Linked DNA regions of Mus musculus. The protein of the gene in region 2 interacts with the protein of the main gene of each other region in a biochemical or structural test. Links are inferred from orthologs where the notes say so. Each region holds a gene or a part of one and is shown on either strand. Other genes may lie near its edges.

Evidence for each region.
Region 1: the proteins of Dlat (region 2) and Pdk2 form a complex in vitro, tested with the Homo sapiens proteins (2 studies listed by BioGRID). The link is inferred for Mus musculus from reciprocal best matches to the Homo sapiens genes DLAT and PDK2.

The regions. Positions count from the first base shown.
Region 1 is NC_000077.6:95,017,737-95,033,987, forward strand, and holds the end of Pdk2 (pyruvate dehydrogenase kinase, isoenzyme 2), read right to left. Parts: exon of another isoform or gene 15,922-16,251; intron 15,288-15,921; exon of another isoform or gene 15,021-15,287; intron 15,007-15,020; exon of another isoform or gene 14,867-15,006; intron 14,801-14,866; coding exon 14,729-14,800; intron 14,495-14,728; exon of another isoform or gene 14,392-14,494; intron 14,285-14,391; coding exon 14,100-14,284; intron 13,374-14,099; exon of another isoform or gene 13,274-13,373; intron 12,271-13,273; coding exon 12,181-12,270; intron 11,996-12,180; coding exon 11,918-11,995; intron 11,263-11,917; coding exon 11,186-11,262; intron 11,061-11,185; coding exon 10,962-11,060; intron 10,851-10,961; coding exon 10,743-10,850; intron 10,243-10,742; coding exon 10,129-10,242; intron 9,587-10,128; coding exon 9,446-9,586; 3' UTR 8,522-9,445; downstream 1-8,521. Other genes in the region: Samd14 (sterile alpha motif domain-containing protein 14), read left to right, coding at 1,625-1,797, 2,194-2,482, 3,462-3,549, 3,650-3,724, 3,813-3,972, 5,523-5,642, 5,724-5,879, 6,842-6,997. UniProt on the Homo sapiens protein: Kinase that plays a key role in the regulation of glucose and fatty acid metabolism and homeostasis via phosphorylation of the pyruvate dehydrogenase subunits PDHA1 and PDHA2.
Region 2 is NC_000075.6:50,647,165-50,664,108, forward strand, and holds the start of Dlat (dihydrolipoyllysine-residue acetyltransferase component of pyruvate dehydrogenase complex, mitochondrial), read right to left. Parts: upstream 12,617-16,944; 5' UTR 12,303-12,616; coding exon 12,027-12,302; intron 11,626-12,026; coding exon 11,524-11,625; intron 11,126-11,523; coding exon 11,001-11,125; intron 10,835-11,000; coding exon 10,681-10,834; intron 6,585-10,680; coding exon 6,458-6,584; intron 3,775-6,457; coding exon 3,587-3,774; intron 2,610-3,586; coding exon 2,468-2,609; intron 1-2,467.

The DNA.
Region 1 (16,251 bases), on a different chromosome or scaffold from region 2:
CTATCTGCAGTCTAATGTATACATGCCCCCCCCCCCATACACAAAGCTTAATAATAACAATACCCTCGGACATTCTCAGAAGTAGAGAGAAAAGCACAGTGCACCTTATGTAGTTGCTCAGGGAACAGGATTTAGGAGGGCTGAAGGGAGAAGGGTAGCTCAGAGCTGTCTAACCTGGGCAGATAGACCATTGGTCTAGGGGGCAAGATGCCTGATGATTAAAGAGCAAGCCAATGAGGGAAGGAGGGAGGGAGGGAAGGAGAGAGAGAGGGAGAGGGAGAGGGAGAGGGAGAGGGAGAGGGAGAGGGAGAGGGAGAGGGAGAGGAAGAGGGAGAGGGAGAGGGAGAGAGTCTTGGCTGTCCTAGAACTTGCTCTGTAGAGCAGGCTGAATTTGAACACAGAGATCTACCTGCTTCTGCCTTTCTGGGATTAAAGGCATGCACCACCATGTAGGGCTCTGATGGGTGGTGTTTGGCTGAGGCACTGGGGGGCTCTGGTTTGGGGGTTTCCTGGCGGCTGCTTCTGGGCTTAGGCTTGGCATTTAGTGGAGAAGTCTGGGCTGGGAATAGACAAAGTGGCCATTGAACAAGGGTGCCTTTGGGATGTCTACAGACGGGAGAGGAGCAGGCAAGACAGAGGGTTGGAAGGATGGAGTGGGGTCCCAGAGATATTAAGAGAGGATCGAACAGGAAGGTCTTGACCCATCCTGAAGCCTGGGGAGACCTCAATGCCGATGTCAGGGCCAGACCAAGGCCAGTGCTGCCTAACTGGGCAGGTGACAAAAGTGCATGTGAGCTTTCCTCACTCCCAGCAGGGCTCCTCCTCCTCCTCCTCCTCCTCCTCTTCCTCTTCCTCCTCCTCCTCCTCCTCCTCCTCTTCCTCCTTCTCCCAGTCCTCGAAGGACTTGGCACTGCGCTGCAGAGTCCAGGACCCAAGAAACAAGTTGCAGGGGCCTGTGGGAACTTTGCTCCTGGGTCTGACACTGGTGTGTGGTCACGAATAACACAGCTATCCTTAAATACAGCCTTGAGTGTGGCACAGCAAGACAGTGTCACCAGGAGGGACTGTTCCTAGAGTCACACTCCAGATGATACACTGTCACTAGTCAGTGGCTCCAGTTGTGACTTGCCTTCTTTGATCCTAGTTGGCTCAGCTATGAACCATGGCCCAGATGCTGTGACCCTCACCCCCAACCCAGGTAGCTCTAAGGAGGAAAGTGAGGTGTATAGCATTGGGTACATGAAGATGCCTCTTCATCCACCTGGTCTCCACTGCTTTTCCAATCCACTGGGGAGTACCTATTTCCACAGAGCTATTTCCTGCCACCCAGGGGTTCCATCTCTACTTCTTACTTCCCACCCATTCCAATAGTTTGCCAACTCTTACTCAAACTTTAGGATCCAGGTGGGTGTGCCTCCTCTTACCCCTGTTTCTGTGAGTGTCTGCACATAGGCCAGCCATGCCCACAGGAGGACCTGGGATGATAGCAGGTGGGGTTATGAGCCCAGCCCAACTGTGGGGCACCCACATTTCAACCCACAAGCACAGTAGGTGGTACTCCCAAGCACCAGTTAAATGACTGGGATGTTGGCCCATCTGAGGTGGCTCTGGTCTCCGTTTGCAGACCTGGACTTGGCTGTACCAGAGACCACCAGACTGGACAGCAGCTTACACAAAGCCAGGGCTCAACTGCTGGCCAAGGGCCGGAGACACCGGCCTTCCCGTTCCAGGCTACGAGACAGTGCCAGCTCTGCCGAGGACGGTGAAGGCTCTGATGGGCCCGGAGGCAAGGTTGGGGTAACATACACACACCAACATCCTACCCCTGGACCATACCCCCTCCCTCACGCTTCCAGGGAAGTGTGTGCCCCCGGAGATGCTCCCAAAGATCAGTTAGCAGTTCACTTCTGGCTCCTGTACCTCTGTACAGGAAAAGGGATTGTTAGCCCATTTTACAGATGAAGCTGAGACCAGAAGGTTCGGGAAGTCCCATTAACTGTGGGATGTGCAAATGAAGCAGGATGTCTTCACTTCTTGTGAGAATCCATTTCTCCAGCCCCGGGTCCCAGAATACCTGCTCTCCAGACCCCAAGAAACAGAGCTTCCTTGGCGCTCCTGTACAGCCGATGGGGGAAACTGGCCTCCATCCTCTGGGAAGTCAGGGGGGACGCTGAACCGCTGCCCCTCTTCTAGGTGACCGACGGCTGCGGTAGCCCGCTGCACCGGCTGCGCTCGCCTCTACATTCGGGTCCAGGCTCCCCAGCCAGTGGATCTTTCTGCCTGGAGCCCCCGGGCTTGAGGCGCAGTCTGGATGAGGACGAACCGCCGCCCTCGCCACTCGCTCGGTACCGGCCCCTGCACAACGCCGCCTCGCATGAGGGCCTGGCCGCCACCTCCGGCTCGCCACCACGCTCTGCACCCTCCTCCGACAGCTCCCCCAGCTTCGTGCGTCGTTACCCTCGAGCAGAGCCGCACAGCGAAGGTGAGCTCGGTAGGCGCGGCGCTGCCTGCCAACGAGCATCGAGCATCAGAATCGCAGCTAGGCCAGGCAGTTGGGGTAATACAGGGGAGACAGAAGGCTGGCTGGCCATCAGGTTCCCTTCTTCATTTACAGAAGCTTACTATATGCCAGACACCGCTGTGCCCATACAGAGAATAGAGACAGCCCTTGGCCTCTGGGGACGTGTAGCTTAGGAAAGAAACAACCAAATCACCCCATAATTACCGTATAGGTACAAGCTGTAATAAAAGCTATGCAGGAAATATGCACAGTTGTTAAGTGTCCTCACCTGACTGGAAATGCTTCCCTGAGGAGGCAACATTTGAGCCGAGATTGAAAGACTGGTTAGAAAACGGTCAAGATAAAGTCAGTAGTATGCCTAGCAGGCAGGAAACATGACAGAATACCAGATATGGTCATGTACCCTGGTTTTCAGTACTCAGGAGGCGAATACAGGAGAGTCAGAAGTCCAAGGCCACATAGGGAGCTCCAGAGACCCTGTCTCAAAAAAAGAACTAATTAATACTAATACCTTTGGCTGGGTGGTAGTGGTACATATCTTTAATCCCAGCCCTTAGGAGGCAAGAGGCAAGTGGATCTCTGAGTTTGAGGCCAGCCTGGTCTACAGAGTGAGTTCTAGGACAGCTAAGGTAACACAGAGAAACCCTGTCTCAAAACAACAGCAACAAAACCAAAACGGTCCTGCCTTCTCAGATGTAAAGTGCTTTTACAGTTTGTAAAAGGCAAAAGCCTAGGCTCCCATTAGATACTGTAAAATTGGCTCATCTCTGCTTGAAATAAGACACACAGACAGTGTCTTATCCTGGGTCACACAGCTAATGAAGAACCCTAGGGCCAAATGGCCTAATTCTACGTCAAGAAATGTCTACCCGACACAGGCGGCGGCAGGAGGCCAGCAGACCATTGCGTTAGCTGTTTTCCTCCCCTTCTCTTTCTAAAGATGACAGCCGGGATGCCAGCCCCCCTGAGCCTGCCAGCCCCACCATCGGCTTGGACAAGAAGACTCGCAGGAAATTCCTGGACCTGGGGTGAGTGGGGACAGATATTGCAAGTGTCCTTGGAGCTGTTGGGGTCAGAGCATCACAGTGGGCAGGTATGCCCTACTTCTCCCCCCCTGCCTCCTTCCAGGGTCACTCTCCGCCGAGCATCCACCAGCAGGAGCAGGAAGGAGAAGGGTAGCAACCGCCTGTCCATGGGCAGCAGGTGAGAGGTCCCCATGGCACCCACCCGCCCACCCACAGCTCCCACCCACTCCTGGTCACCCACACCATGCTGGATGCTTTCTCCACAGGGAGTCTGTAGAAGGTTCTGGAAGGACAGGAAGCTCCCCGTTCCTGCCCTTTTCCTGGTTCACGGACAGCGGCAAGGGCTCTGCTTCCTCGGGGAGTACCACCTCCCCGACCTGTTCCCCCAAACACGAGGGCTTCAGCCCCAAGAAGTCAGCTTCCCAGGTAAGCCCAGGTCTTCATTCCTTCTTTTTCTCCTTCCTTCTTCTCATCTATCCTTCCCTCCCTTCTTTCTTTTTCCCTGCTGAGGCAGTCTTACTCTGTAGCCCAGGCTGGCCTGGAACTACACAGCCTCTTGCCTTAGCCTTCTGTGTGCTGGGACTAGAAGAATGTGCCATCCTTCCCAGTGTAACCCCGGGACGTTCTTGCCCCACACTGGCTTCTAGGCTCAGGACAAGAACATACTTCATCGTGGCTTGGACTGGGACCCAGGTTTTTCTGGGACCCATAGTGTCCCTCTACAGAGCTGCCTGGTGACTCATGGCTTGCTTCTACTCTCTGGCTTCATTCAGTCATGCCTCGTGCGTTCGTACCCATTCGTATTTCATGTGTTTATACTGCTCCCTATACTCAGAACTCCTGTGGGAACACTGAGGCCCTCCACTGCTCACTCAGTCTGAGGAGCCCTTCTTCTTACTGTTCTGCCTGAGTCAGGTCTGGACTGTGCAGTGCCATCAAGAGCTGGCCATGTGCATGATGGGAAGTCTTGGAGATAGCGGAGATGAGCAGGACCCCCACGTAGTCTTCTGAAAGCTCCAGACCCTAGGCGATAGGAACCATCAACACAACCAATACTAATGTCTCCTTATGTTCACAAAGACCACTATTGTCTGTGGCTTTAACTGTGACTTAGGCAAGGTAGTCATTATTATCTGCATTGTACAGATAAGCAAATGAGGTTTGGGGAAAAGGGGACTCACCCACAGATGTGCACAGCTGTGTATGGTGCTGGGGCTTAGGGGAATCAGAAATCGTGGGATTCAGGGGAAAGGCCCGTCTGATGTGCAGCTTTAGTCTATAACCACCTGATAGTCTTCCTCAGTCCCTCCCTTTGTGCTGGTCCCAAGGGACACCATGCTGAGAGAGAGACAGCCCAAGTCCTCACAGAGATTCAAGGCCATTTGGGGGTACCCACCAGCCAGGATGCAAGAGTTCTAGGAGAAGGATTCTTTTGTAAAAGACTTATTTACGTATTATGTAAACAAGTGTTCTGCCTGCGTGTATGCCTGCAGGCCAGAAGAGGGCGCCAGATCTCCTTATAGACGGTTCTGAGCCACCATAGGGTTGCTGGGAATTGAACTCAAGACCTCTGGAAGAGCAGCCAGTGCTCTTAATGTAACCCGTGAGCCATCCCTCCAGCCCAGGAGAAGAATTGTTATGTAACAGGGACACAAGACCTAGCCTGGGGGGAGGGATTCTGGTAAGCTGCCTATAGGGAACAGCACCTAGCCCCCTCCATTCCTCTTCATCCATCAGCCTAACTTAATGCTAGGACTATGTCCTCTAGGTAGTCCGCTCCCTCCTAGAGGGCTCAGGTTCTGATATGTCACTTCAGTCATCACAGCCTGTGTCTGGCTGTCTAGTTCTGAGTTCCTGGTCCTGGAGCATTGAACGGCTGCTGGTGCCTAGTGTAGTATTTCAGCTTGCTCTGGTCAGGTGATGGGCTTGGGGTGGGAGGTGGACTTACTTCTCGGCACACGTCCCTTTCCATGTAGGAATCTACCCTGAGCGATGACTCCACACCCCCCAGCAGCAGCCCCAAGATCCCCGGTGGTCCTCGACAGGAGACCAAGTGTTCCTATCCCTACCACACGCTGTCCCAGTCTTCGGATGAGGTGAGTGAGGCTGGCCTTTGTGCCTGCTGGGGGGGACCCAGCCGCAGGCCAGGCTTCCTGTACTCTCCCCATCTCTATCAGTTCCTGGATGAGTCCCTCCCTGCCGTACAACACTGGACCAGCCAGCAGGTGGGCCAGTGGCTACACAGCCTCAACCTGGAGCAGTATGCTGCCGAGTTTGCTGCCCGGCAGGTGGATGGGCCGCAGCTCCTGCAGCTGGACGGAAGCAAACTGAAGGTGGGTCAGAGTGCAGAGGTGATGATCTTTCAGATTGAGATAGCTTTTAGGGACAGAAATCACCCTTTGTCCTGACTTTTGACCCTGACTTACCTCCTGGACTGACCTGGCATTGGCTCTCCCTGTGTAGCCTCTGACCCGGTGTCTGACCTCTATGCAAGGTACTCCTTTCGCAGTGTAGTACAACACCTCCATCTGACTTGAAACTCAAGCCTAATCGCTTCTATCTGACCTTCTAGCTCCAGCCCGGGTCTTTGGGCTGACCTTGATCTTTGGACTACCATCAAGGCCACTTTCTTGGCCAGCTCCATCCCATATTCATTCTCAGATCCTGGATACCACCAGGCTCTGGCGTGCTAAGTGGACAGTGTGGAGAGGTGGCCTCCAATATCTGCAGGTTCCTGGGACTGAGGGAGAGAGAGCCCCATAGGAACTCTCTTATTTATTTATTTATTTATTTATTTATTTATTTATTTATTTATTTATTATATGTAAGTACACTGTAGCTGTCTTCAGACACTCCAGAAGAGGGCATCAGATTTCGTTACGGATGGTTGTGAGCCACCATGTGGTTGTTGGGATTTGAACTCAGGGCGTTTGGAAGAACAGTCGGCGCTCTTAACGGCTGAGCCATCTCACCAGCCCCCCATAGGAACTCTTGAAACGGGAAGGGACCTAGCCGATAAGCCACTTGACCTTGAACAAGTCACTCTTCACTCTGAGGACCTCAGAGGTTGAGCAGGATCATACTAAGGCTGAAATCCTAGGTTAAGGATCTGGCGCCAAGGACGGGGTCGCAAATGGCCTAGTGCCAGAGAGTTGTCATCTCTGACCACTTGCAAGCCATTCCTCCTACCTTGGGACCCCGATCCCTAGGCAAAGGCCAGACTTCCGAGCAGACTCTAGTGGGTCTGTGGGGCAGCGTTCTAGGCCTCTTTCCTTCATTCTGGATTTCTTCCCAGAGCCTGGGGCTCAGCAATTCGCATGACCGAGCACTGGTGAAGCGGAAGTTGAAGGAGCTGGCAGCGGCTGCTGAGAAGGAACGGAAGGCGCAGGAGAAGACCGCAAAGCAGCGGGAGAAGCTGCGGCGCCGCGAGAACGATGCCAAGAAGAGCTAGGGATGGCTGGCGGGGCTGGCACCCCGGCGCACTTGCAGCCACCTACATGGGCCTCACCAGGGAGGCAGGGTCCAGGCACCAGGCTCTCGGAGCACGCGGCCCCCCTCTCACCCTGTTTGGACTGAGTCCTCTGGAGGGAGACCCCAGGGGGGAGGGCCCAGTAATAAACCCAATTTCGAGGACTTGTTTGGCGCAGACTTCCAGGGGGAAGCAGGTGGCAGATGAAGAGGGCAGAGGCCAGGAATGCAGCAAACGCGGAGCCCAGAGGAGCCTGGTTCAGGTGGAACCTCCGCCCTCTGACTAGAGTGGTCCGAGCAGGAAGAAATCTAGCAGGAGAGGCCCTACCATGGCCAGGATTCCTAGGTTTAGAGAGTAGCCTGGGCAACCCGACTGGAGACAGGAGACAGCTGTGTCTCCTCACCTTTTGAAGGTGGCTGTGTGGTGGGAGAACAGATCTCCCCAGAGAGGCCAGTGGGCAGTGCCAGTAGCACTCAGGGTGGATTCCCAGACACCTCCTCAGAGGAGAGAGAGAGCAGGGCAGGATAAGCTGGCCTCTGTAAGGAAGGCAGAGGGGGAGAAGGGAGCTCTCACTCACTCTCTCTCTCTTCCCCTCCCTCACCTGCAGGTTCCAGCACACAGGTCTGCTCCTCTCCCATTGAGTCCCTTTCGCAGAGCTAAAATCCACTTCTTCGGAGAGTACTTGAGCCTTCGAGGGCAGGAAAAATTGAGAGCTGTTGGGGACACGGGTCACTCCCCCAACTAGTGTCTAGATGGTGAAGAGGCACACCCTAAGTGTGGCCTGCATGCTGCCAGATTGAAAGGGTCCATCAGCTTCCCTGGTGCCCTGGGTGTGTCAAGGCCTCAGAGGCCTGGGGCGGATGGACAGACACTGCTGGCTTAGGTTTGCTAGGCTACAGAGGGGGACTGGGCCAGCCCCGCGTGGGACTGGCACATGTCCTTTGTAGGGCGTGTTCAGAGATAGAGGGTCCAGGTGCAATGCTGACCCAGCTTCTTGGGTGCTGGTCAGTTACTACTAGGCCCAGGTTTTAGATGACAAACCCCCACCCCTCCCAGTTTCCTGGAGAGGTGAACAGGACCTGCATGTTAACTCCCTCTCTCCTGCCTGGGAAAGTGGCTGAAGGCCAGGGCCCTATGTTTGTGCTCAGTCACCTTCACTGGAAGAGGGGGCCTCATAGGGAAAACTAAGGTATCGGGGCACTGGCACTTCCTAGACTGGGTGGGGAGGGTGGAGGCTCTACTGTCCCCGAAGCCGTGAAGAGCCAAGTGTGCCCACCTGCATGTGAAGGGGGAAGATGGCTATCAACTTCTTTCAATAAATACTTACCACACACCAGTGATCTTCTTGTCTGGGACAAGGGACTAAGCTACGCCTGAGTGGACGGCCCTGCCTGGTGGCGTGTTCAGCTGGCCTAGGTCCTGAGTACAGTTAGTCCTAGGGGACCAGTCTTCACAGGTGCTTCATGTGTGGGCTCCCCCTCCCCGAGCAAGGAAGCCAGGCAGCAGTCACATTTCATCTGTTTACTGTGGATGTCACTGTCACCATCCCAGCCACTGGGAGGGCACACGGCTTTAACCCCTGTGTGTGGAGGGGAAGGGCAGGGCTTCTGAGATTACAAAACTGGCTATGTACATAGGGCTGTCCTAGGGGTGAGTCACTTGTGCACACATAGTGGGCATAGGGGTGGGGTGGGGTCTGAAGCTCAGGCAGCATAGGGTGGGTGTAGACTGGGCAGGGGAGGTGTGCACGTGAGGACATGCTGGGTGGGCAAGGCTTTAGGAAGCAGCTAAACAGAAACATTGCTAAGATCACCTTGGGGGCAGCTTACTCCTAGGCCTGCCCTCTCGGTGGGCCCCGGGTGAGAATCGCTACCTACTCTCAAGTTCCCAATTGCAACTTCATACCATCCAGAGTAGAGATAGAGGCTGCAGGATCAGAGTCAAGGGTGGACCCTATCTTCCCCCAGTCCCTCTCCAGACTTGAGGGCACTCCATCCTTCTTAACATTGACAAAGAACCCAGCCCAAATGTGCCTGTACAGTGTGTGGGCATAAGGCAAGCGGAGCAGCCACTTGGAAGGCCAGGACTATGCAGGCAGTGAGGGGGAACCAGGGCTTCTAGTAGAAAACAGACAGTTCTGATCTTGGGAGAAGTGTCTCTGGGCCACCCCATCAGGGAGAGCCATCCCCAACCCTCAAGCATCACTATGGAAACCGGGTTCCAGGGAAACCCCCTAGGGTTTCTCCACAGAGACATATTGGCACTTAGGGACCACCACAGTTGGGCCACTGAGATTTCTACAAAGACAGATCTGGCCATCAGGGAGACCCAGTTTCACCCCTTGTACCCTAGGGGATAGATAGGGAAGGTCCCTGTGGTGGCTGGATTCAGAGGTGGCAGCATCCTACAGGTGCCAGGGAGGGAAGGCCCCTAGCTGACCCGATACGTCGATGTGTTCTTGGGCTCTGTGCTGGGCACACACCAGTCGCCGGCCTCCTGGATGGTCTGGTAGTGGCGCCAGGCAGACTTGTTGTAGACAGGCAGGCGCTCCACTGAGTCCGTGGACAGGGCCTAGAGAGCATTGCCATCAACCTCCTGCTTGCCCACACCCCAGCTTACTACCCTCTCCCACCCAGGCCCTGATGGTCTCCATCCCTGGAGTCCTAACCCAGGTCTGAGTCAGCCTCATAACCAGGCATTAGCCTGAGACATTACCCCAGACCTGGAAAAGCCCCTAAAAGAGTCAGCCTTCTGTCTCTTGCCCTGGCCCATTCCATGAAGCTGGCCCCTCCACGATCAGGGGGGCAAAAAGGATCAAGAGGGAGGGAGGCTTTGCTGTGTGATCCCTATTAATCACCAAGGTACACTCGGATCAACTGAAGTTCAAGACCTGTAAGGTTCCCTTCCTTCTAGCCTAGGGTTTCTCAGAAGAGGGGCCTTACTCACAGACCTTAGACCCCCTGAAGTTGCCTACCACATTAGTTTAAAGTTACAGTGCTTGAGGAGCCAAGGCTCCTCTGAGTCTTGGAGAGCCAAAACTGAGTTTGGAGTCAGGAAGGATGAGGGATGGGTAGAAACCCGTTAGCAGCCAGCTTGCCCCTGGCGGGCCTCACCTTCAGATAGATGACAGCATCTGTCCCAAAGCCCTCCATAGAGAAAAGCTGCAAGTCCCCCTGGAAGTACTTGGCGTAGAGGCGGGAAATGGGGAGTCCGTACCCAAAGCCAGCCTACAGAGGAGCCACAGGTCATAAAGTGAGCCAGGAATGCTGGACTGGGGACAGGCAGGGGCGCTGGAGCAGGGGTGGAGAAGGGACATTTCTGAAGCAGATGGGAGTAGGTGGGAGGCAGGGGGACTGCAGAGGATGCATGGAGAGACGCTGGTCTGGGCGGGAGAGTTCTACCCAGGCCGGTGGTTAAAAGCTCCTTAGAGTCTATTCCCTAAGCCTAGGACTGCCTGTTCCACAGGAGCAGGGACAGAGGCGACAGCAATTAGCAATGCGGTGGAGAAAGAGGAGAGAGGGCCAAGGAGAAGTGACAGCTAAACAGATGGGCGGATGATCAGCAGGCAGGGGGCTATTAGCAAACGGTAGAGAGAGAGGAGGCCCTGGAGTCACAACAGGAGACTGTTGTCACACCACACAGCCATGGGGTGGGCTGTGGGGAGGGGGATATGCTTGGGAGTTTAAAAAGCAGGAGCCAGGGGACTGGAGGAAGGCGTCTATCTCACCAGCGGGGTACCCCCAGTGCCAGGCTGGGGTGTGGGAGCTGTGGAGTACATGTAGCTGAAGAGCCTCTCGATCTTCCTCAAGGGGACACCCCCGCCTCGGTCACTCATCTGGGAGACCAGGGGGCATGTGAGATACCCTCCAAGGTTATGTGCTCCACTCCTCCCTCTGCCCCCCGCCCCACCCTGTAACCTCCCATGGCCAAGTCAAGGGTCACATACTTTGATGGACAGATCTTCTTCACCGAGGGCCACCATAATCTTGATGGGGGGGAGTGTGAGGCTGGACTCGTGGCTTTCCACAGTGGCCCGCATGGCATTCTGGGAAGGGAATGAAGGATGATGCAGTGAGAGAAGCCAGCCCCAAAGGTACCTGCTGAAGCTGGGGGCCAAGAGCTGACCCTGCCCAGCCCCTACCCCCACCCCCGAGAAGGGTAGCCTCTTACCTTAAAGAGTTCAAAGAGCATGTGGTACAGGTGGGAAGGGACATAGACCATGTGAATGGGCTGGTTGGCGTTGGTGGCTGTGGGAATGGAGACCAGGGCCAGGAGTCATACAGCAAGGTCACCTTCAAAGCAGACCTTCCCTCTCTCCACAGCTGTACCTAGCCTAGGTGGCTAAGTGGCTGCACCCACTCCGAGCAGCCACAGCTAGTAACCCTTAGAAGCCCCAAGTTCAACCCTGCTTCTTCCTTCCTTCCAGGCATGGGAGGCCTGGGTACCGGCTCTGACCACCGGAAGCACCTCTCGATGAAGATGCTGGTTCTTGGGTTGGGGGCATCACGCATCACTCTCCAGTCTCCGGCCTGTTACCCCACACCCTGCCCCTCCTATCATTTGTGAGGTTTTCAAATTAGCTGGTGTGTTTGCATGGTCAGTGGTCACCTATCACAGGTCTCAACCTCCCTAGCACCAAGAATGTACGCTCTGTGAGGACAGGGGCCTTGCCTGTCTTCTTTACATGTTGAGTATATCAAATAGTGAGCAATTATCCAACAAATTGGTAATACAGAGCAGCTCCTCTCTAGGGGGGTCTGACCTCCTAGCTCCCCTACTCTGGCCTGCCTGGGTACATGCACACATACATGTACACACATATACATACACATACACATACACGCGTGTAATCATATGTGCACACACATGTAGATACACATGTACACACACTCATTTGCTTACCATTGACTTCCTGGATCTCCAGGTCAGGGGAAGCCATGTAATACTTGTCACACAGGAGCTTAGCCATGTCATAGGCGTCTGGGAGGAGACAGGACCACTCAGGTTATGGGAGGCTGACCCAGCAGCAGTCCCTTTGGCACTGACGTGAAAACTGACATGCCCCCCCCCCCCATCTGCTGGGAATGGATCACCTTCTGACCTGGCTATTTGGGAGGGGTCCCTGGAGCTCCTTTGTGGGCCAGGCCTATGGTGGGGGGGCTCACCTTTCACCACATCAGACACGCTGCAGTTGGGATCGATGCTGCCAATGTGTTTGGGGTGGGCTGGGTTGGTGCTGCCATCAAAGATGAGGGCTGTGGGCAGAGGGAAGGGCGCGGTTGGCAAGTTCACAGGATCTAGTTCTCCCTCTTCCTAAACACCCCACTCTTCACCTCATCTGTAGGCCTTTGTATGGTCCATGCTAACCATGCCCCCCAAGTCTTGTTTCCCTCTAGCTTGGGCCTTCCAGAGCTTCTGCACCTTACAGCAGTCCTTCCATAGTCCTCTCCACATCATACCCTGTTAAGTGTATGTATATGTATACATGTATATATGTATGTATGTGTATATGCATGTATACATGTATGCATATGTGTTTATGTGTGTACATATACATGTTTGTATATATGTATATATGTATGAGTATATGAATTATGTGTGTATCTATATATGTATGTGTTTATATATATGTGTGTATATATGTATAAGTGTATGTATGTGTGTATATGTGTATGTATATGTGTATTTATGTGTGTATGTATGTATACATGTATACATGTGTATGTATATATGTGTGTATGTATATGTGTATTTATGTGTGTATGTATGTATGCATGTATACATGTGTATGTATATATGTGTGTATGTATATGTGTATTTATGTGTGTATGTATGTATGCATGTATACATGTGTATGTATATATGTGTGTATGTATATGTGTGTATACATGTGTATTATATATGTATGTATATATGTGTATGTATGTGTACATGTGTATACATGTGTGTATATGTGTGTGTTATGTATGTATATGTGTATATGTATGTGTGTATGCATGTGTGCATGTATGTATATATGTATGTGTGTATACATGTATGTGTGTATGCATGTATGTATCTGTGTGTGCACATATGTATATATGCATGTATGCATACATGTGTGCATGTATATATGTGTGTGTGCATGTATATATGTGTGTACATGTATATGTGTGTGTATATATCTGTATGTATGTATGTGTGTGTGTGTGTGTGTGTGTGTATGTATTTTCTTTTTTTTTTTTTTTTCAAGACAGAGTTACTCTGTGTAGCCCTGGCTGTCCTGGAACTGACTCTGTAGACCAGGCTGGCTGTGAATTCAGAAATCCGCCTGCTTCTGTCTCCCAAGTACTGTGCATCACCAAGCCCAGCTTTAAAGGTACGCTTTGCTTTCATATCTTCACACAATACTGTAAGATAACTTCCATCAGCTTGCTTTTCTTAGAACATAAAGAACTCACTTAACTTAGCTCTGCTTTGTCAACCAGCATAGAAAACTCTGGACAGGAAAGGGTAAATGATAAACCGTTTTTGAATACAATGGAGTTCTTAATGTGTTGGGTGTGGGTATGGGTGGGTGGGGGACAGCATGTGTAAATGGCTCACAAGGTGGCTCAGTGCGTAAAGGTGCTTGCAGCCTAGCCTGACAACTTGAGTTCAATCCCCAAGGCCCAGATGATGAAAAGAGAGCGTAAACTGCAGGATGTCCTCTGCCCACAACATGTGCACATGTGCATAAATAAATAAATATAATTGTTTCAGAACACGTAGCATGTTTGACATTTACAAATATTTACAACAACAGAATTTCACCTCAGTGTTGCACTTTTTACTTTACTTTGGGAACCAATTACTTTTTAAATTTTCTATTTACTTAATTTTTTTGAGGTTGGCCTCAAACATATACTATTTTCCTGCCTCAGCTGCCCACGTGCTAGGGTTATAGACACATGACTTAAGCCACACTCTTCAGTTCCCAAATGCCACTCAGGCCTCTGAGCCCAGAGGCTGAAGTGGGGAGCCTGCTTTCTTGTGGGGGCGGTGCCCTTCTTGGCGTGCCCTGCCGGGCCCCTTGCCCTCTCCGAAGCAGCCAGGCAGGACTCACTGTGTTGATTGATTAGCATTCGGATGGAGATGCGGCTGAGGTAGAAGCGGTCCAGGAAGTACTGGATGTTCTGGTTGGAGACGGGGTCATCTCCATAGGTGTCCTTGTACTCCAGCACTCCCTGTGCCATGGTGGGCACCACGTCATTGTGCCGGTTCCGGATGGTGACCAGGGCATCTGTGAACCTTCAGAGAAGGCAGACACTTGCCTCTACCCAGTCTCAGGTTTGGGGACACCCTGGCTCTCCATTATTCCCAATGGCCTATCAGTTCCTTCATTTTCTCCTCCCCAGACCCACAGACACACGGAAGCTCACCCACTGGAAGCCCACCACTACTGTCCCAGCTCTCCATCCATCTTCCTGTTTACAGCTAAAGTTCTCGGTTTCTCTGAAGGTTTGTTCTGGGGGCAGGGCTCCCCCACATCCTCTTGCTATACTGATAATTAGCATTCTCGTCTCTCGCAGCAGACCTGGTTTTCCCAGAAGTAGCCTGTCTCCCCCCTTTCTTGGCACATCCCTGAAGGCAGGGCCTTTCCCTGTACCCAGCTGGCATTCCATCCTTGTGGCCCTGACCAAGATGTCCTTGCCTGCACCTGCCTTCTTGTCCCTAAAGAGGGTGCTCACTCACTGGCTTAGAGTCCGGTGGTCCTCGGGGTCTTTGTCCAGGAATTCCATGATGTCCAGCAGACTCTGGACATACCTGTGTGAAAGCAGAGAAGTTCATAAGCCCAGCTGAGACTACACAATGTTCCCTCTCACCCCTCAGATGCTATGGTAGGTGGCGCACAGAGCTGAACAGGCTGACAATCAACACCCCATTCTATCCGCTCCGGGTCTCCCTGACAACCTAGTAAGTTGTCCAAGAAAACCTTGAATTTGTCAGTTCCCTTAACAGTGCATGTCTTTGCTCCAGAACCCGATTAGCAGCAACCTTGGGAGGGTCCAGAAATCACCCCCTCTCTAGAGGCTGGAGAGAACAGGGGTCTGAGGCCCAAGTGTCCTACAGTAACAGAGGGCTCAGACATCTACCTGCCTCGCTGAGCCCCTTTATTGACAAAGATCCTGGTATCTCCATAGGGGGCTGAGGCTTCTAGTGGACAACGGGTGCTGCCAGCAGGCTAGCTGCTGACACAGAACCTCTTCCCAGAGTGATCTGGAACCTGCCTCGGGAACCCTCGGTTTAAAAGGTGAGTAGGTGTGGTTAGCTCTGTCCTCAGGGAGGACCAGGGAGGCTCATTCTGCTCTTTGAAGCCAATGAGCAGGGAGGGTGTGGGTGAGCCCTGCTGTCCGTACCACCTCTAGGCCTGGTGGGTGGGGCAGGCCTCCTCTCCAATTAGGAAAGGTTAATGAATAAAGAACGGGGGTGGGGGGGGAGTTGAGCCCTGAGCTTCTGCACGTGAGGTAGGGCTGCCTGAGGCAGTAGATGGTGCCAATCTAATGTCACTGTCCCCTTGCCTGACTGAGCCACGACCTTAGCTTCCCCTCCAGGCATGCTCCAGCCTGAGTCTTATTCTGGAAATGTGAACTGTGAGCCTAGGGCAGAAACACTTCTGGTCTGAGGGCTGGGAGGGCTACCTGGAGTCCTGTCATGGGGAGCCCCTGAGTCTCTAGTGGAGACACTAGGTTAGGACCTATTCGAAATCACCCAGAGCTCTGAGAGGAGAGGAAGGAATGGGCCCCGCAGCAGTGTCCCCACTGGGTGGGAGTACAGCCGAGCCTTGTGGAGCTCCAGGGCTCCTGCCACCAACAGGGCTGCCGTTGCTCTGGATCTCACCCCGGCCTCCCTTTCTGTGTAGAATGCCCTGCTCTTTGCACCCCACAACTGCTCTTTGCTGGTGCCGCTGGGTTCCAGTGTGGCCCTGGATTAGCTGCGGCACTTCTCTGGGCTTGTTTTCTCACTAGGAAAGGTGGGAGTTCTTATCCTTATCTCTCACTGCGCAGTGAATGCGCTTGACCGATGGCCACTCAAAACCTGTCTCCAGCTGAGCACACCCACTCAGCTCCACTACTGCCGCGCCTTAGGCTATTCGGCGCCGCCGGGAGCAGGAGCAGGCTTGGTCTGGGGCTCCTTCCTCTTCGTCCCAACCAGAACCTAACACAATATCTACGGGGGTCGCTGTGGATGGGATAAATGAAGAGGCCAGCTTCCTG
Region 2 (16,944 bases):
TCCTCAGTCAGGCTTTGTTTGACTCCAGGCCATGGGCTACGGGTGGAGCGCCCTCTGCCAAAATGCTTTTCTCTGACCTTTCACAGGGCTGGTGCACAGATGACTCCTTGTCTGGACATGAGATCATGTATCACTCCTCAGAAAGGTCCCCTCATCCATCCTAAAAGTCGCCGCATCTGTCCCTGAGTCTTTCTTAATCCATCCTTAAGTCACCCCAGCTCTTAACAGTAGAGCCAGGATAGCTAATATGCTTTCTCTGCGCAAGCACTGCTCACTCATTCATCTTCACACCGCATTAAGTATTATTTTTATATACAAGTAACAGAGCCAGAAAAGGTGACACTGTTAGCGTAAGGCAGAGCTCACATTCAAACCTGAGCCTTCTAGCTCTGGGTCCCATCCTTACCACTCGCTAGACTTTTGTTACTTCATCCGCTCCTGCCGGCCAGTGAGGTCGGAACGTTCCCCACCTTACAAACAAGGACCTGATGCACAGGTGCTTCTCAGAACCATGTGCTTAGCTGCTCATAAAGGAATCCTTAACCCAACCTGCAGGAAAACAATACCAAGGTCCTTCAACTCACCCCTCTACCAAAATCCAGCACCACTACCTCTCGAACAAAAGACCCTACTAGTCCAGGTTCTGCAGGCACAATTACTAACTCAGCCCCTCTGCTCTATGTAATACCTTAAACTCGTCTGATATAAGCACAGATGTATAAAGAATGCACCAACAAACTGCAGCTTGGTGCTGAGTGAGAACCAGACTGAGGGCAACAATTGCAGATCTGAGGACAGCACGGGGTAATGGGGAAAATACAGAAATTAAAATAGGACCTGATGTTCAGGCCTCTAATCCTAGCTACTCAGGAGGCTGAAGAAAGAACATTGCAAGTTCAGGGCCAGCTTGGGCAATTTTTTTTAATTTTGAGATGCTATAACAGTACAAAGTAAAGAGAGGGGTAGGAATACATATGAGTGTTACAGTGCCTGCCTACTATGATACTAGGTTCCTGTTTAAAAAACAAAAAACAAACAAACAAACAAACAAACAAAAAACCCTGGGCTGTTGAGAAAGCTCAATGTGTAAGGATGTTACTGCTAAGCCTAATGACCTGAGTTCAACCCTTATGCATTAGGTGTCACACTGTACACAGAGGTCAGAAGACAAATGACAGGAGTCGGTTCTCTGTTTCTACTCTGTGGGTCCCAGGGACAGTACTCAGGTCAGCAGCAGCCAGCACTTTTACCTGATGAGCCAGTTTTGCTTACTGCTACACTCAGTTAACCTAACACTGGGATTTATTACACAGACACGTCTTATAACTCAACACTGCTCAACAAACACATTTGCTTTTGCCAACACTTAAGTAAGACAGGATAGAGACAAGGAAATTGTGGGGCTATGAGAAGGGAAAGGAACTCCTCCTCATCCTGAAGTAGACGGAGCCTCTCAGCACCTGAGAAGCAAGAATTCCAACATCCACATCTGTTAAAGGTGTTTCTCCTCCCAGTGATAAAACAACAATTTCCTAGGAAGCTCATCAAAAGCCCCATTTATAATAGAAGACTTGTATTATATGTAGCCCTTATGGCTCCTGGTGTTATCTATAGATTATAATTCCATCCACAACACCTCCAGTGCCACCCCAACAAGCCCACTCACCAAGAGGAAGAAGGAACAAGAAGAGAGCCACCACAGTGGTATATGGCTAAAATGGAGCATCTAATTGCAACTCTCCCCGCGGACTCACTATTACACTTGGGTTATGTCTGACCTTCTCTGACTGCCTCTTAAAAAGCTCATATCCAAACTTGGGTATAAATTATTTCCCAGAGGATATTTCTCTTAATGTCCATCCTTAAAATCTTCATCAAAAGTATCTTTTAATAAACAACACTGTCCTTTGATGTGCTTTTGATGTTTTTGTGAGCATGTTTCTTCTTTTCATTTTTTGTTTTGTTTTTAAAGAACAGGGTTTCTTTGTGTAGCTCTGGCTATCCTGGAACTCACTCTGTAGACCAGGCTAGCCTTGTACTCAAAGATAGGAGTGGGCCACCATGCCTGGCTCAGAAACACCTTTTTATTTTTAATAAAACCCCAACTCAGCTTCATTCTAACAAGTCCTGAAATTCTTGTCTGCACCAAAGGTACAAAACCTGGGTTTGCCTGAGTCCAGGTTCCTAAGATTACAGGAGCTCCTCAGAGCTCTCAGGGGAAATGTGAGGGACGCTTCCTTCCCTTATCACTGCTGTTGAAGATTTCCTATGAATAGAGGAGAGTTTGAAAAGGCACACAGCTTACATAGGCAATCCTAGGCAGATCGAATAGAACACGGTGATGCTTGCCTTCCGTGAAGGCAGCAAGGATGTCTGTCTCCTTCCACACAGGTATAGGTGCTGGCCTTACACACAGCATTTAACTACACTGTACCTGGATAACCCCTTTCTTCAGAAAGACACTTACCTTTAACTTGGGTGAGGTCAATCCCTTTCTCTGCTGCCAACTTCTTCGCAAGAGGACTAACGAACACCCTTCCCTTTGGTCCAGCAGGAGCAGCTGAGGGGGTAGGTGCTACAGGCTGGGGAGTGGGAGGAACAGCTGCCACCTTTGGGAAAAAAGTTACAGAGCATCTATCCATTCATCACTGCAAAGATAATCTGACAGAACACAGGTTCATATTTTATAATGGAAAACTCTTTATAATTAAATGATGTTATGCACTTTCCTGGCTTGACTAACATAAAAGACGAATGGCAAGAATATTTTCTGACAGAGTCAAAAACAGTTCATGCTAACTAGAGAGGTGTGGAACTAAAACTGACCTATGTATAACATACTGGCTGCCTGTCATTTCTTGTCATTTTTCCCTTTGAGACTATGCAAGCCACAGTGATCATCCTGCCACAGCCTCCCAAGTACCCAAACCACAAATACCTTGCTTCCTGTCCATTCTTTATTTCCTTATATTAACCTGAGCTCTGCTTTATTTAATCTCACTTCAGGATGGAAAATGATAGCATCAGCTCCCACGTTTCAAGTATCTTAAGGAATGGACCACCCCGTTCCCTGACAGCATCCGAATCAATGCGAGACTGTGAATGCAAGCTTCCTCTGAGGAAGTGTGCAGCTCTTCTAAACCCATGGAGGAGTACACTGGAGAGTGCAAGTGCATGATGCTACAACGAGTCATGCCACTTCAGGGCCCAAGGTCCAAAACACACTTCTTCAGCTACAACCACAAGTACCAGAACTGAGAGTGGAAACAGGTCGTTAGTTGAGCAACAGAAAATGTGGGGTGAAACCATCACCTCCCATGGACATGATAACACACCACTAGCAGGTCATGTAATTTACCTTTGTTCTCAGCAAGGCTTAAGATGTCGGCAGAGTAAACTACTGACCATCAGGTGGACAGCACGTGACACACGAGCACGCACGCGCATGCAAGCTCACTCGCACACATACACACCACAGATTAACAGGTACCGCCAGTCACTTTCCTTCGTGTAGGATCTGGACACCCAGGAACCTGAGCTATTATCTGCCTGAACAGACAACTCCCCAGTTCAGAACCACACCTACCGGGGGTGGGGCAGGTGGTGCTGCCTGTGGCTTTAAGCTGGTCACTTCTGTTGGCCTGTAGTCTGCAAATGCTGCTATATCTTCCTGTTTTTCTACTATGATACATAGTGGAGCTCCCAGAGGAACATCCCTTGTGCCTTCAGGGACCAGGATTTTTGCCAGATAACCTTCTTCTTGTACTTCAAAGCCTTAAGTAGAAGGAAAATCATTATGGGACTCAAGCCTCCACCATTCCTACACCCTCACTAGTGTTTCAGGTAAAACATTTTCTTTTCTTTTCTTTTTTTTTTTTTTTTTTTAAAGATTCGTTTACTTATTATATGTAAGTACACTGTAGCTGTCTTCAGACACTCCAGAAGAGGGAGCCAGATCTCGTTACGGATGGTTGTGAGCCACCATGTGGTTGCTGGGATTTGAACTTCGAACCTTCGGAAGAGCAGTCAGGTGCTCTTACCCACTGAGCCATCTCACCAGCCCAAACATTTTCATATTCAAACTACTAGCACTGTTTTTTGGCTTTGTTTTGTTTTTGACAAACTACTTAACTTTTCTGTGCCTCTATTTCTGTCTTTAACATGGGAACAAGAATAGCACAGTGAACCCTCTGACCACAGGTCCTGCATCCCTAAAATCCATTCGGCTGAAGGTGAATGTTACATTGTTGCTGGCATGTACTATGTAGTTAGGCTTCGGAGGTCTGAACTTAGCGCACACTTTTATTCTTGCAACTATTTCCTAAGTAGTCCAGTGTAACAGCTACTCACACAGCTCTGTTGTACTGGGCATTACAAGTAGCTGGAAATGATGATTAAAGTGTACAGGGCTAGAGGCATAGCTCAGTAATACAGGGCTTACTAATATACTCAAGGCCTGAGACCCACCCTCCAAATACTATGTCCACTTATTTAGGGAACTTGAATCTATAGACTTAAATCAGAGTGCCAACACATATACCAAGGAATGGCTGACCATATAATCCTTACATAAATGTTAATGGATTTAAGTCAATTAATGTTTTTAAGTACTTACCCTGCACAAAGTATAAATGAAAAATGCAGTTGGCCCTCCAAATCTATAAGATCAAAACAATTTGGGAAAAAAAGAAAAAAAACAAAACAAAACAAAACCCTGCACTCGTGCTGAGCTCGCACGAATGCCCTTCTGGAGCCAATCCCTTGTGGACACTGACTATGTCTGTTCTACCAAGACTGCAGACAGTGGCACATTCTAAGAGTTACTGAGAACGCCTCAAGGGTGGCTTTATGTGGCACTTACAGGACACTAAGATGGTATCAGCTAGACTGCTAGAAGTCAGAGTTACATGGAAGTCAAATTACAAGAACTAGCAGCAGGACGGTAACATGGGATCTCAGCAGTAAAAGTGTTCTCAGAGCTCCTCAAAGGCTATGCCTGGCATTACGCTACATTTTCCAGTGTTATGAAATACAGTATCACTGGGGGTCTCTGCATCAGCAGGCAAGAAGTTACTCCGCTACTGTTTCTCTCAACACTGAAGACTTACAAAGTAAAGGCCAAAGCTGAGTGTTTTCTTGTAACCACACCCTCAGGAGCCTGAAGCAGGAGGATGGTAGCTCAAAGTTAGCCTGGGCAACATGAGTTCAAGAGCAAACGAGATTATATAGCAAGGAGTTCTCTGTAAGGAAATAGCAGCGTGGCATGATGATGCATGACTTTAATCTTAGCATTCAGATCTCTTGTGACTTCCAGACCATCTAGGGTGAGTGAAACCCTGTCTCAGAAACTTACTGATTGATTTAATTTAATTAAAAACAGCAAAACCAAGCTACTGATAAGGGCAAGTTCTGCCTTTCAGAACTTGCTCTCTGCAGTTATGCTTCTTGATGGACAGACACATCTCTAATGAATTCTTCCATTTTCCCAACCGGGAATACTCAATAGAAGCTGTGCTGAAGATGGACAGAGGTAGGGCACATCTAAGGTTTGGCAGCAAGCACCCTTTACCCCACACCAAACCACCCTGCTGGCCCTTGCTTTTTCCTTAAGGAAGAATCATTTCTTCTAATAATAGCTATGAAAGAACCAGGCACGGTGGTACAAGCCTGCAATCCTAGCACAGTCTCATCTCAAAGAAGAAAAAAGAGGAAAGGGGAAGAGGAGAAAGAGCAGGAAGAGGAGGAGAAAGAGGAAGAGGAAGAAGAGGGAGAAGAAAAGAAGGAGGAAGAAAAACACTATAAAAAAGGTATAGTATGTTAAGGGGGGGTCCTTACTCTTTGATATCACTTGCCCAGGCTACCAAGAGAATGGTGACGAGCACTGTCTGTGCCCACTACTGCCTGATGCCTATGTCCTGCTCTGCCACTATGGCGTGGATGGGCCTTCTGCTCCTGGAAACCACGGAAGAGTGGAAACAGGTTCAGAACACCTGGGATTATCAATAGACACAAGCACAGTACATGACTGCATGGTGAATAAGTCAATAAAGGGGCACATGGAAATGAGAAAAAGACTGACATCCATGGCACTTTCAGATTATGAGACTAATCTACACCCTGGGTACTGTTTTCCCTCAGAGGCACCTGAAAGGCTTTGGTATTCTCCTGCCCTAGAGGGCATGACTATCTTCCTCCTCCCTCCTTCTTTTCCCATGTTTAGACAATGGCAGTGCTGGTACAACTTCTGAGTACCATAAAAATAAAGCCAAGAGAGTGAACCCAGGCCTTAGAATAGACCCTGACATATCCTCCATTGATGAGTACAGCTCAGAACTGACACGTGTGGCTGTGATGACCTTTTTATAAAATATGACCCAGGCAGCAAATCTCAGGACTGTAAATGTCACATTACCACTCACTCAGTACAAAAAAATGTACTGATGGCCATCCTCCTCACCTATGGTGGCCTTGTCGGTCTCTATCTCTGCCAGCAAGTCTCCTTCACTCAGCTTCTCGCCCACTTTCTTTTCCCACCTCTGGACCGTGCCCATGGTCATGGTTGGGGAGAGGGCAGGAAGAACAATCTGTGGAGACAAATGCCACACATCACTGCTTAACCAGGACGCATAAAAGCATTCAGGTAAGCGCATGCTTACCAACTATACAGTGAGACCTTGTCACCCATCACAAAGGTCTGTACTAATTGCTTTCCCAGTTAAATCAACCTTTAAAACAAGAGTGATTAGACACCCTAACCCATCCTCCAAAGTGAAAAGCAACAGGAAGATGGAAAGATTTCTTCCAGATGGTCAAAACAAACCTCTCTCCCACCCGCCTCTCTGCACAGACACACAAAGTATCTTTTCAACCAGGTCAGTGGTTCTTAATTTTTCTAATGCTGCTACCCTTTAATACAGTTTCTCATGTTATTGTTACCCCCAGGCATAACAATAGATCGGTTGCTACTTCATAAGTGTAATTTTGTTACTGTTATGAATCTAGTGTAAGTTTCTGGTATGCAGCTATCTGATGTGACCTATATGAAAGGGTCACTTGACCCACAGACTGAGAACCACTGATCTAGGTTACCACCAATACTTTTCATTCTTTTTTTTCTTTCCTTTTATTGAATATTTTCTTTATTTATATTTCAAATGTTATCTCCTTTCCCTGTTTCCCCTCCAGAAACCCCCTATCCCTTCCCCCATCCCCCTGCTTCTATGAGGCTGTTCCCCCACCCACCCATTCCCGCCTCTCCACCTAACATTCTCCTACACTGGGGCATCAATCCTTCACATGACCAAGGGCATTTCCTCCCACTGATGCCATCCTCTGCTACATATGCAGCTAGAGCCATGGATAGCTCCATGTGTATTCTTTGGTTGGTGGTTTAGTCACAAGGAGCTCTGGTGAGGTCTGGTTGGTTGACACTGTTGTTCTTCCTATGGGGTTGCAAACCCCTTCAGCTCTTTCAGTCCTTCCTCTAACTCCTCCATTGGGGACCCTGTGCTCAGTCCAGTGGTTGGCTGTGAGCGTGGCCTCTGTATTTGTCAGGCACTGGCAGAGCCTCTCGGGAGACAGCTATATCAGGCTCCTGTCAGCATGCACTGCTTGGCATCCATAATAGTACCTGAGTTTGGTGACTGTATATGGGATGGATCCCCAGGTGGGGCAGTCTCTGGATGGCCTTTCTTTCAGTCTCTGCTCCACACTTTGTCTCTGCTTTTCCTCCCGTGAATATTTTGTTCCCCCTTCTAAGAAGGACCAAATCATCCACGCCTTGGTCTTCTTTCTTTTTGAGCTTCATGTGGTCTATGAATTGTATCTTTAGTATTCCAAGCTTCTAGGCTAATATCCACTTATCAGTGAGTGCATACCATGTGTATTCCTTTATGATTGGGATGATATTTTCTAGTTCCATCCATTTGCCTAAGAATTTCATGAAGTCATTGTTTTTAATGGCTGAGTAGTACTCCACTGTGTAAATATACCACACTTTCTGTATCCATTCCTCTGTTGAGGAACATCTGGGTTCTTTCTGGCTTCTGGCTATTATAAATAAGGTTGCTATGAACATAGTTGAGCATGTGTCCTAGTTATATGTTGGAATGTTATATGTTGGAGCATCTTCTGGGTAGATGCCCAGGAGTGGCATAGCTGGGTCCTCAGGTAGTACTATATCCAATTTTCTGAGGAACCACCAGACTGATTTCCAGAGTGGTTGTACCAGCTTGCAACCCCACCAGCAATGGAGGAGTGTTCCTCTTTCTCCACATCCTCACCAGCATCTGCTGTCCCCTGAATTTTTGATCTTAGCCATTCTGACTGTGTGAGGTGGATCCTTTTCATTCTTACAGAACGATCTTGGTCTAGACAAACTGCTGAATTTACTGTGTTCTGCAATAAGCATCTTTTCACTCATGAGAAACCATACTTATTTCACACCACACACACACACACACACACACACACACATATATATATACATATATATAAATTAAGGACTAAAGATATGGCTAAGTGATTCAGAACACTTGCTGCTCTTGCATAGGATCTTAGTTTGGTTCCCGATGGGCCAACTCTCAATCACCTGTAACTCTAGCTTTAGTGAATCCAATCCTGTCTCCGGGAATACCAGCATGCACATGTCTACACACACAATTTTTAAAACTGAACATTAAGAGCAATTCTGGGAGCAAAGGATGAGGTTCAGTAGTAGAAGAGTAGCTGACTAGCATGCATGAGGCAGGACTAGAGGGAAAACCCACAAAACTAAATACCATTCTTCAGAGATAGAGGAACAATACATTGTATTTTTTTAAACTGTTAAAAAACAAAAGGCTTTCTGATGTGTGTGTGTGTGTGTGTGTGTGTGTGTGTGTGTGTGTGTGTGATGCATGCACAGGTGTATATAAGTGTGCAGTGGAGAAGCCAGAGGAGGATGTAAGGTATCCTGAGCTATCTCCCTCATTTACTTGAGAGTCTCTCACTGAAGTCAACAACAAGCCTCGCTTTCCAGCTCCCCCTTCTCTGCGCACTCTGGTTATAGAAGACAACTAACTTACTTCCACAATGACCTCTACACATTTAAGTGCACACTAAATGCATGTAAAAACAAATATCTTTATTTTGGACAGGTTTTCTCTGTATAACAGCCCTGGCTATCCTGGAACTCAATTTGTAGACTGAGCTGGCCTCTAACTCAGAGACCTGCATGCCCCTGCTTCCAGAGTGCTGGGATTAAAGGTGTGTGCCACCATGTCTGCAAGACTTAGAAACTCTTTAAAAATTATTTCTTGTTCAGAATTTCTTTTCTTTGTTGCACAATCACCAGTAAAGTATGAATGTGTATGTTTGAGTGTGCATGGGGGGGGGCAGTAGAAAGAGAAATACACTCATTTATTTATCTTTACCATCTCAAAGGATTCTTAGGACCCAATTCTAACACTTAAACACAGAGCAGGATAAAATGGAGAAAAGAGGTCTTATGTAACAAAATAAGGTTGCTGAACTGAAAGAAATCATCATGAAAGCTAAAGACCAGGAAAAATTTCATCATAAGGAATTGTTACCAATAGACTTGGAACGTGATTTCCAGAGAAGAAACTGACTCACCCAGAAAACTTCTTATAAAGTTAAGGAAAGGCCAAATCTTAATCCTTTAGATTTTACTTACTTCCAACATCAAGACCACAGAAAGATAAACAAAGGAAAACTCTAAGATCTAATACTGTGATTAAGTGCACAGGCTTTTGGCGTCTGGGTATGATTTTCTTTGGCTCTTTTTCCCCTGTTTGTTTGGCCCTATTCTAGTTTTGTTTTTTGTTTTTTTTTTAGATGTCTAATAAGAAGAAGGAAAGGGCATGGGTAGGTAGGGAAGCAGGGAGGACCTGGGGTGGGAAGCTGTAATTAGATTGTGTTTAGGAAGAAAAAGCACAAGATGGTTTCCTAGAGCTGATCTAGGTTGGTGGTAATCACATTTATGGCCAACAGCACTGTTAGAATGTTATCCTGTAGACTTATTCCATACTGCTCATTCTTTTTAAATGATTTATTTATATTTTATATGCGTTGGTGTTTTCCCTGTATGCATGTCTTTGTGAGGGTGCTGGGTCCCCTGGAACTGGACTTACAGACAGTGGTGAGCTGCCACGTGGTTGCAGGGAATCAAACCTGAGACCTCTACAAGAGCAGTCAGTGCTCTTACCACTGAGCCAGCTCTCCATCACCATCATACTTATTCTTTATTGTTATTTTTTCACTAATGACTATTACTGGAATACTTCATCTATGCTTAGAAGTAGCCCACTCTAAACCAAAGGAAAACTTCATCTGGGGACTTTCATTCAGCAAATAGCACCTGTTCTCTACTTAAATTCTACTTGCATAGGGGAAAAAGTCATTTCCGAAACCTTTCACATCGTTTGTGAAAGAGAAAAGCCAAGCATTATCCTGTATCCTGGGCTAAAGCCGAGAAAGGTTAAAGAAACTGTCCAGGCTCACACACTTAGAAACAACAAGAATAATTTTCACAGCTAAAATCTCTCAATACGGCTGAATGACAGGCACTTATAGTTAATGACACGTTTTCAGAGTACAATAGCCACCCATAGAGAAAAATGACAATAAAATAATTAATAACAAGTCACCAGGAGCCGGCACTCAGAGGCTGAGTCTTACCTGCATATGAGTAGGATAGGAGCTACCGGGAGCGCTTGCAGAAGGTGCCGCTGGGGCAGCAGCTGGAGCTGGGGCTGCAGCTGGGGCTGCCTGTGGGGCAGCTGCCGCCGCCAAATCCAATGTATAATTTTTAAAGGCCTCAATATCCTGAGGCCTGAAGAAAAAGAATACATAAATATAGAATTTATAAAGCAAATCCAATCCCTAACCTCCCAGCGAGTCCTCACATGTCTTTAACTTCCAATCTGAGTTGAAATGCTTTAAAAGCAACAAATGTTCACAAATTACAAAGATTTTTTTTTCTTTTTGTTTTTACTCACTTTTCAACTGTGATACAGATGATGGACCCAACTGGAACATCTCTGGTCCCTTCAGGAACAAGGATCTTGGCCATATAGCACTCCTCCAGGCTCTCAAACCCAACAGTGGCTTTATCAGTTTCAACCTGTTAGCACAAAAGCACTGGCTTAGGTTTGTACTGCCAAGAGGCAGTTAACTGGAATGTGTCTAGAAATCCATACGAAGATAAAACCCACTACCACAGACTTGAAAGAACGGTTTAAAAACATTTTGGGTAGAAGCTAGGCATTGCTAACATTGTAACATTGGGGGTGGGGGGGGATATCTCTGAGCATTGCAGGCCAGCCAGAGTTACACCGTGATCTCAAAAACAATTTAGCTAGCTGCTGACAACGTAGCTAACCAATCATCTCTAATAAATGGGGAGGTGGGAGGGGAGCTGCTTCTTAAAGAGAAAGAGGAAACTACCTACCAGAAGGCTAAGCTTTAGTCTATTCAGCAAAGCCACTCCCTTAGGTAAAATCTGCGTGTTTTAAGACTTACCTCTGCAATTAGATCACCCTCACTGATTTTTTCCCCTTCTTTTTTTTCCCAGCGGGCTATGGTGCCTGCCTGCATTGTAGGGGAAAGGGAAGGTAATGGAACCTGCAGAAAAAGAAGCATACATTTAAACAGGCATACTTAGCCCTCGGCGTGCTTTCATTCCACCCAAGTTCATGCAGAGTATTTACTGAGTCACATTTCAAACTGTTCACTGGAGATACAAAGGGAGATCTAGCACTCCAGAAATTCATGACTTTCAGAGGCAGGTTGATCCTCCAGTCAGTCTAGTGGATCTGAGAAAGCACGTGAGACTTCTCAGACCTTTTGCCCATAGCCGCAGGCTTAGACCTCTTTCAATAGAAAAGATGCCCACTGGGAAGGTCTTGGGCGAGGGACCGTAATAGATCTGGGAGGGAGCTGGCTGTCGGAGGCCTCTCAAGGAGGATTCCCCACGCCAAGGAGCGGGCTCTGAAGGACAACAGGCTCCAGGGTGGGTCACTCACCTTCTGATGCGGAGGGAGGCTGTAAGAGCGGCGGCTGGGCGACCCCAGGAGTTGTCGCAGCAAGCGGTTACGCGGGACAGTGCCGGAGCCGGAGCTCCAGCCGCACAAGGAGCGGACCCCATAGCGGGGGATCCCACTACCGCAACGGACCGCAGCGGGGCCAATCCGCGGGCTCCCGCATGGGGCCCCGGGGCCTTCCTTCAAGGCCGCCCACCGAGCCCTGAACCCATCCCTGGGCACAGCACTCCGCGCCCTCCGCGCACAGACGCGCCACATTACTGCCACCGACCCCCACGCCCCAAAGGCTCCGCCGTCTCCGGAGTGACCTCTCCAAGAGCAGCGCGGCTCTGCCGTCAGCCGCGCACTGCGGTCGCGCAGTGTCGTAAAAGCGGCTGCTTGGACGGGCGACCGGAACGTAGGGTTTCCGTGCCCCTCTGCGGGGGGGACGCGTCGGAGACACCCGAGAGGGACGGGAGGCTGCCGCTTAGGATCTGCGGTGACGAAGGCGCTGCGAGGCAGTGCGGGGGCGGTGCACGTTTGGGAGAAACGGGAAAGGCCCTAGGAGAGGTGTCGCAGAGGATGGGAAGTACGGACCAGGGCCGCTCTAAGGGACCCGAGAGTCGGACCGGCTGCAGCCTGAGGGCAGGGAGGCGGTGCCAAAGGGAACGACCGCCTTTGCTTTAAGAAAAAGCTGGGGAAAAGAGCCCGGGCTGACAGTAATGCAAAGCTTTAGGTCGATGGGTGCGGGCGCACCTTGGAAAGTTGGAGAAAGGAAAGGCCCTCGAGTGACGGGGGATCAGGGGGTGACCCTTGGCTGCAGAGCCCGCCCCGTGCAGGCTGTCCTAGGTCCCTAACCCACCGGAAACGGGAGCAGCAGGGTTTTCAGCCAAATGATGTGAAGGGCAGCCAAGAGAAAGGTACATTTTCACATTTCCAGTTAGTCACAGAAGACTAATTATATTTCCTCTATAAAGATACTTGTTTGTAAAAAGCAGTTTTATTACCCCCAGATTTCCACCGTATCCTCTTAAATAGCGAAAATATTTTAACACACACACATTCCTTTAATTATAGCATTACGGAGACAGAGGCAGGTGGAACCCTAGATTCCAGGACAGCCTGGTTTAATGCTGTTCATTGCCAGGCCAGCTTGGGCTACATACTGAGATTCTTTTTTTTTTTTTTTTTAAAGAAAGGTTTAAGATACAACTTTGCGAAAGTCGTTGTCGTGCTGTCCCGCAGTTCTGTGAATTCAATAGGAAAACAACAACAGAAACCTTTCTTAAACTATGGAGTAACAATGTGGGGTCAAAAGAAAAAAAATGGCAACAGTGAAAAGCTGCCGAACCCAGCCGCGCCAACCTAGGTTGTTTCTCACTACTGCTGCCTACACTGAATCCTACCGCGTCGCTGCAGCTGTGGCTGTGAGGACACCCGTGCCCTTTGTACTGCCATGCCCTCGGTGTCACACGAGGCCAGCCAACACTGCCTGAAACACCTTGGCACAGATTCCCCGTGTATGGTGTGATTCGCACTGGTTTTACTGTACAAAGTGTTCTGCTCTCACGTGAGCATAATGATTTAATTGCAGAAAGACATTTCCCACAGTTATCCCTTCTATATAAACATTATAGTAGTATAATCTTTAGGTTGAATTGTTATGAGTATTTGGATTTTAAAATTGCCGTGGCTGATTTGAATTTCATAGAAAATCAATCAGTGAATTTTGGTTTGAGATTAGGACTAAATTTTCCAGTAAATGTCTCCCTAGATTTTCCTATTCTATGTATATATATAATATATATATATATATATATATATATATATATATATATATATATATATTAAATTATGACATTATTTTCTGTGTATATGCTAACCAACTCCATCTCTCCAGACCAACACTGAGCTATCTTGCCAGCTCATATGGTACATATTTATCTGAAGCAGCATCCTCAATATTGACAACTATAAATCAACTCTATGTATTGTAGTAACTATTTAAGCGATTTTTTTTTAGACTGACAGCACAGTTCACACGGGTATCTCATTTATAGGACTAAACTATGTGTCCATCCTAAAAGAATGTCTATTGAAAATGGGTATAGACACAATGTAATTTTTTTTCAGTCACAAATAATGGGGTTTGTCATTCACAAAATGGATGCAACTTAATTAAGCAAATTAACTCGGTCTCAGATAAATATTGTATATTTTCCCTCATTTTCTATCCTAGTGTCACTGAGCAGCATCAACACTTGGTGACGTCACCTTTGTATGCTGTGCAGTCACGAACAGACCTTCTGATGCGGTACACACATCAGATTAAAAAAAAAACAAAACTTACTAATGTGTGAGGCAGATGAAGATCTTATGTGCTGTTTCTCCTTGTCTTCTGAATTAGTATAGCAGTAATCCTGCTGAGTGCTTGACTTTCAGTTATTGAGTAATGATTTATGTGCAACATTTATGCAATATGTATCCATTGGATGGGTTATGTAATTAGCCTTATCATTCCTGAACTGAAAGTGACATTAAATTAGGAGGAAGCGTGCTCTGAATGTCTACCAATTCCTCAGTGTACAGATGGTCAGAGAATACCAAGAACACAAGAAGAAATTGGGAGGACAAAAAGTTACAACTGATAGCCAGTATGGTGTACATGACTGTTGTTCTGTTGTTCAAGCACCAGATGGCCACTTTGGGGCTAGCCTGGGCTACCTACATGTACTCTATCTTAAAAAAAAAAAAATCTTAAAATTCTTAGCCCTTGAAAGGCAGAGGCAGATGGATCTCTGTTGAGTTCCAGGCCAGCTAGGTCTACATGGTAAGACCCTGTCTCAAACATAAAGCTGGAAATACATATTCAGAAACCAAATGAAAGAAAACACTCGGAGCTAAAAGTTGAAATATATCAAGCATTGAAATTGGTAACATTAAGTGATAAATGAGGCTGCTTGAATTTGGGAGAGACAGACAGAGCCTTTAAATTGATTTGTGAATTCCTTATTTATTTCTGGGCTGGGGTGATAGTCTATGCCTGTGATTCCAGCTACTGCAGAGGCTGAAGGAAAGTGATTAATTATCTGAATATATCTGTTTAGATAACATGGTGAGATGCTGTCTCAAAAAAATAACTATCTATTTCTGGCTGGGATCCTCGGTGGCTTGGTGGCAGAAATCATGATTAGCATGTGCAGAGTTCAGAATTCAGTTTTAAACACTGCTGAGCTAACTAGGGTTCGATTTTGCATTTGAAGACTAATGTTACAGTTTATACTCATAGGTTCTGATGTGTTTATACATTCACATATGATGTCAAAAGAGTTGAAAATCAACTAATCCTTTTTTACAGTAATCCATCTTGATCTATCTTGTGCTTACATTAGAAATACCTACAGTAAATTATCTCTAGCAATAAAACAATCCTTATCTCCACCCTCCTGATAATGAGCAAACATGCTACCAGGGAGATCACTTGAGGAAATTTACCTTCACTAAATGTAAATGGCTTGACTGCTCATCTCAGGGAAGAGATAGAAATGAAAATGAAGAAGTGGATTTAGTTTGCAAACTCCATTTTATTCATAGTGTGTGTGTTTGGTTTTGACTTATTCACAATTCTGGTACACATAGGCAGTTAAAACAGGTTATTACATTGATCATCGGAAACTTCTGGCATAACAGTCTATGAAAACATTGTAAAACAGAATACATGGTAAGAATCTCTGAAAGCAGTGGTCACAAACACCCATGTTTGTAAGAAAATAGAGCTTTACATGTATGTATTTTAAGTCAGCCGTACCTCTCAAGTTTGACAAATAAGACTGTGCAGTCATGATACGGATGAGTAAAAGTGAAAAATTTAATTATACCTGCTATGCTTTTCAGTAGCCGAGTATTCTTAAGTTGGATGTAGAACATAAAGGTCTTTTCATAATTTAGTCATCCCAATCAAAAGAGCTGAAAACTCAGTCCAAAAGGGGCATTGCAGTTGCCAAATGTATCTAACCTATACTTCTGTTTAACTCAGACACAGATCTCAGTATAGGCCAGACTGGCATTAACTTAGTACTCCTCCTGCCTCAGCCTCCCAAATGTTGGAATTACAGGCACGTATCTATCACCAGGTTTTAAGTACAAATTGTAAAATGTTCCAGCTGACTTTTAGGGAATTGAGCAAGAAGATGATACTCTTCGGTTTTTAAATAACTAAAGTAGCATTTTAAAGATTGATTTGTATTACTTTTACTTATGTGTATATAGATGTCTGTGTAAATACATTTCTACACATGAGTACATTTGTTTTGGCTTTCGTTTTGGCTTTTTGTTTTGTTGTTGTTTTCAAGGCAGAGTCTCACTAAATAGTTCTGGCTGTCATGGAACTTACTAAGTAGACCAGGCTAGCCTTAAACTCAAAGAGATCCCCTTGCCTCTGCCTCCCCAGTGCTGGGATTAAAGGGTTGAACCACTAGTTTTTCCCAAGGAAAGAGGATGTCAGCAATAGCAAGATGGGCTAGCCCACGCCAGTATCACTAGGAAACAATAGTTTCAAGACACAGATTCTCCGAGAGCAGTGGTTCTCAGCCTTCCTAATGCTGCGACCCTTTAATACTGTTCATGTTGTGATCCCCAACCATAAAACTAATTTTGCTACTGTTATAAATCAAAATGTAAATATCTGTATTTTCCATTGGTCTTGGGCAGCCCCTGGGAAAGGGGTCACAACCTACAGGTATAGAACTGCTGTCCTTGAGTTTGCCAAATAGGAGATTATTCAAAAGAGAATGAATTTATGCTTGCTCCTGCTCTAAAGCCTCCGGAAGTATGGACTGGAATGAAGATCTCTGACCCACTGTTTACAGGAATTAATGAAATAAATCCTCTAGTAGAGATGCTTGGCCGTCTTACTTATGGG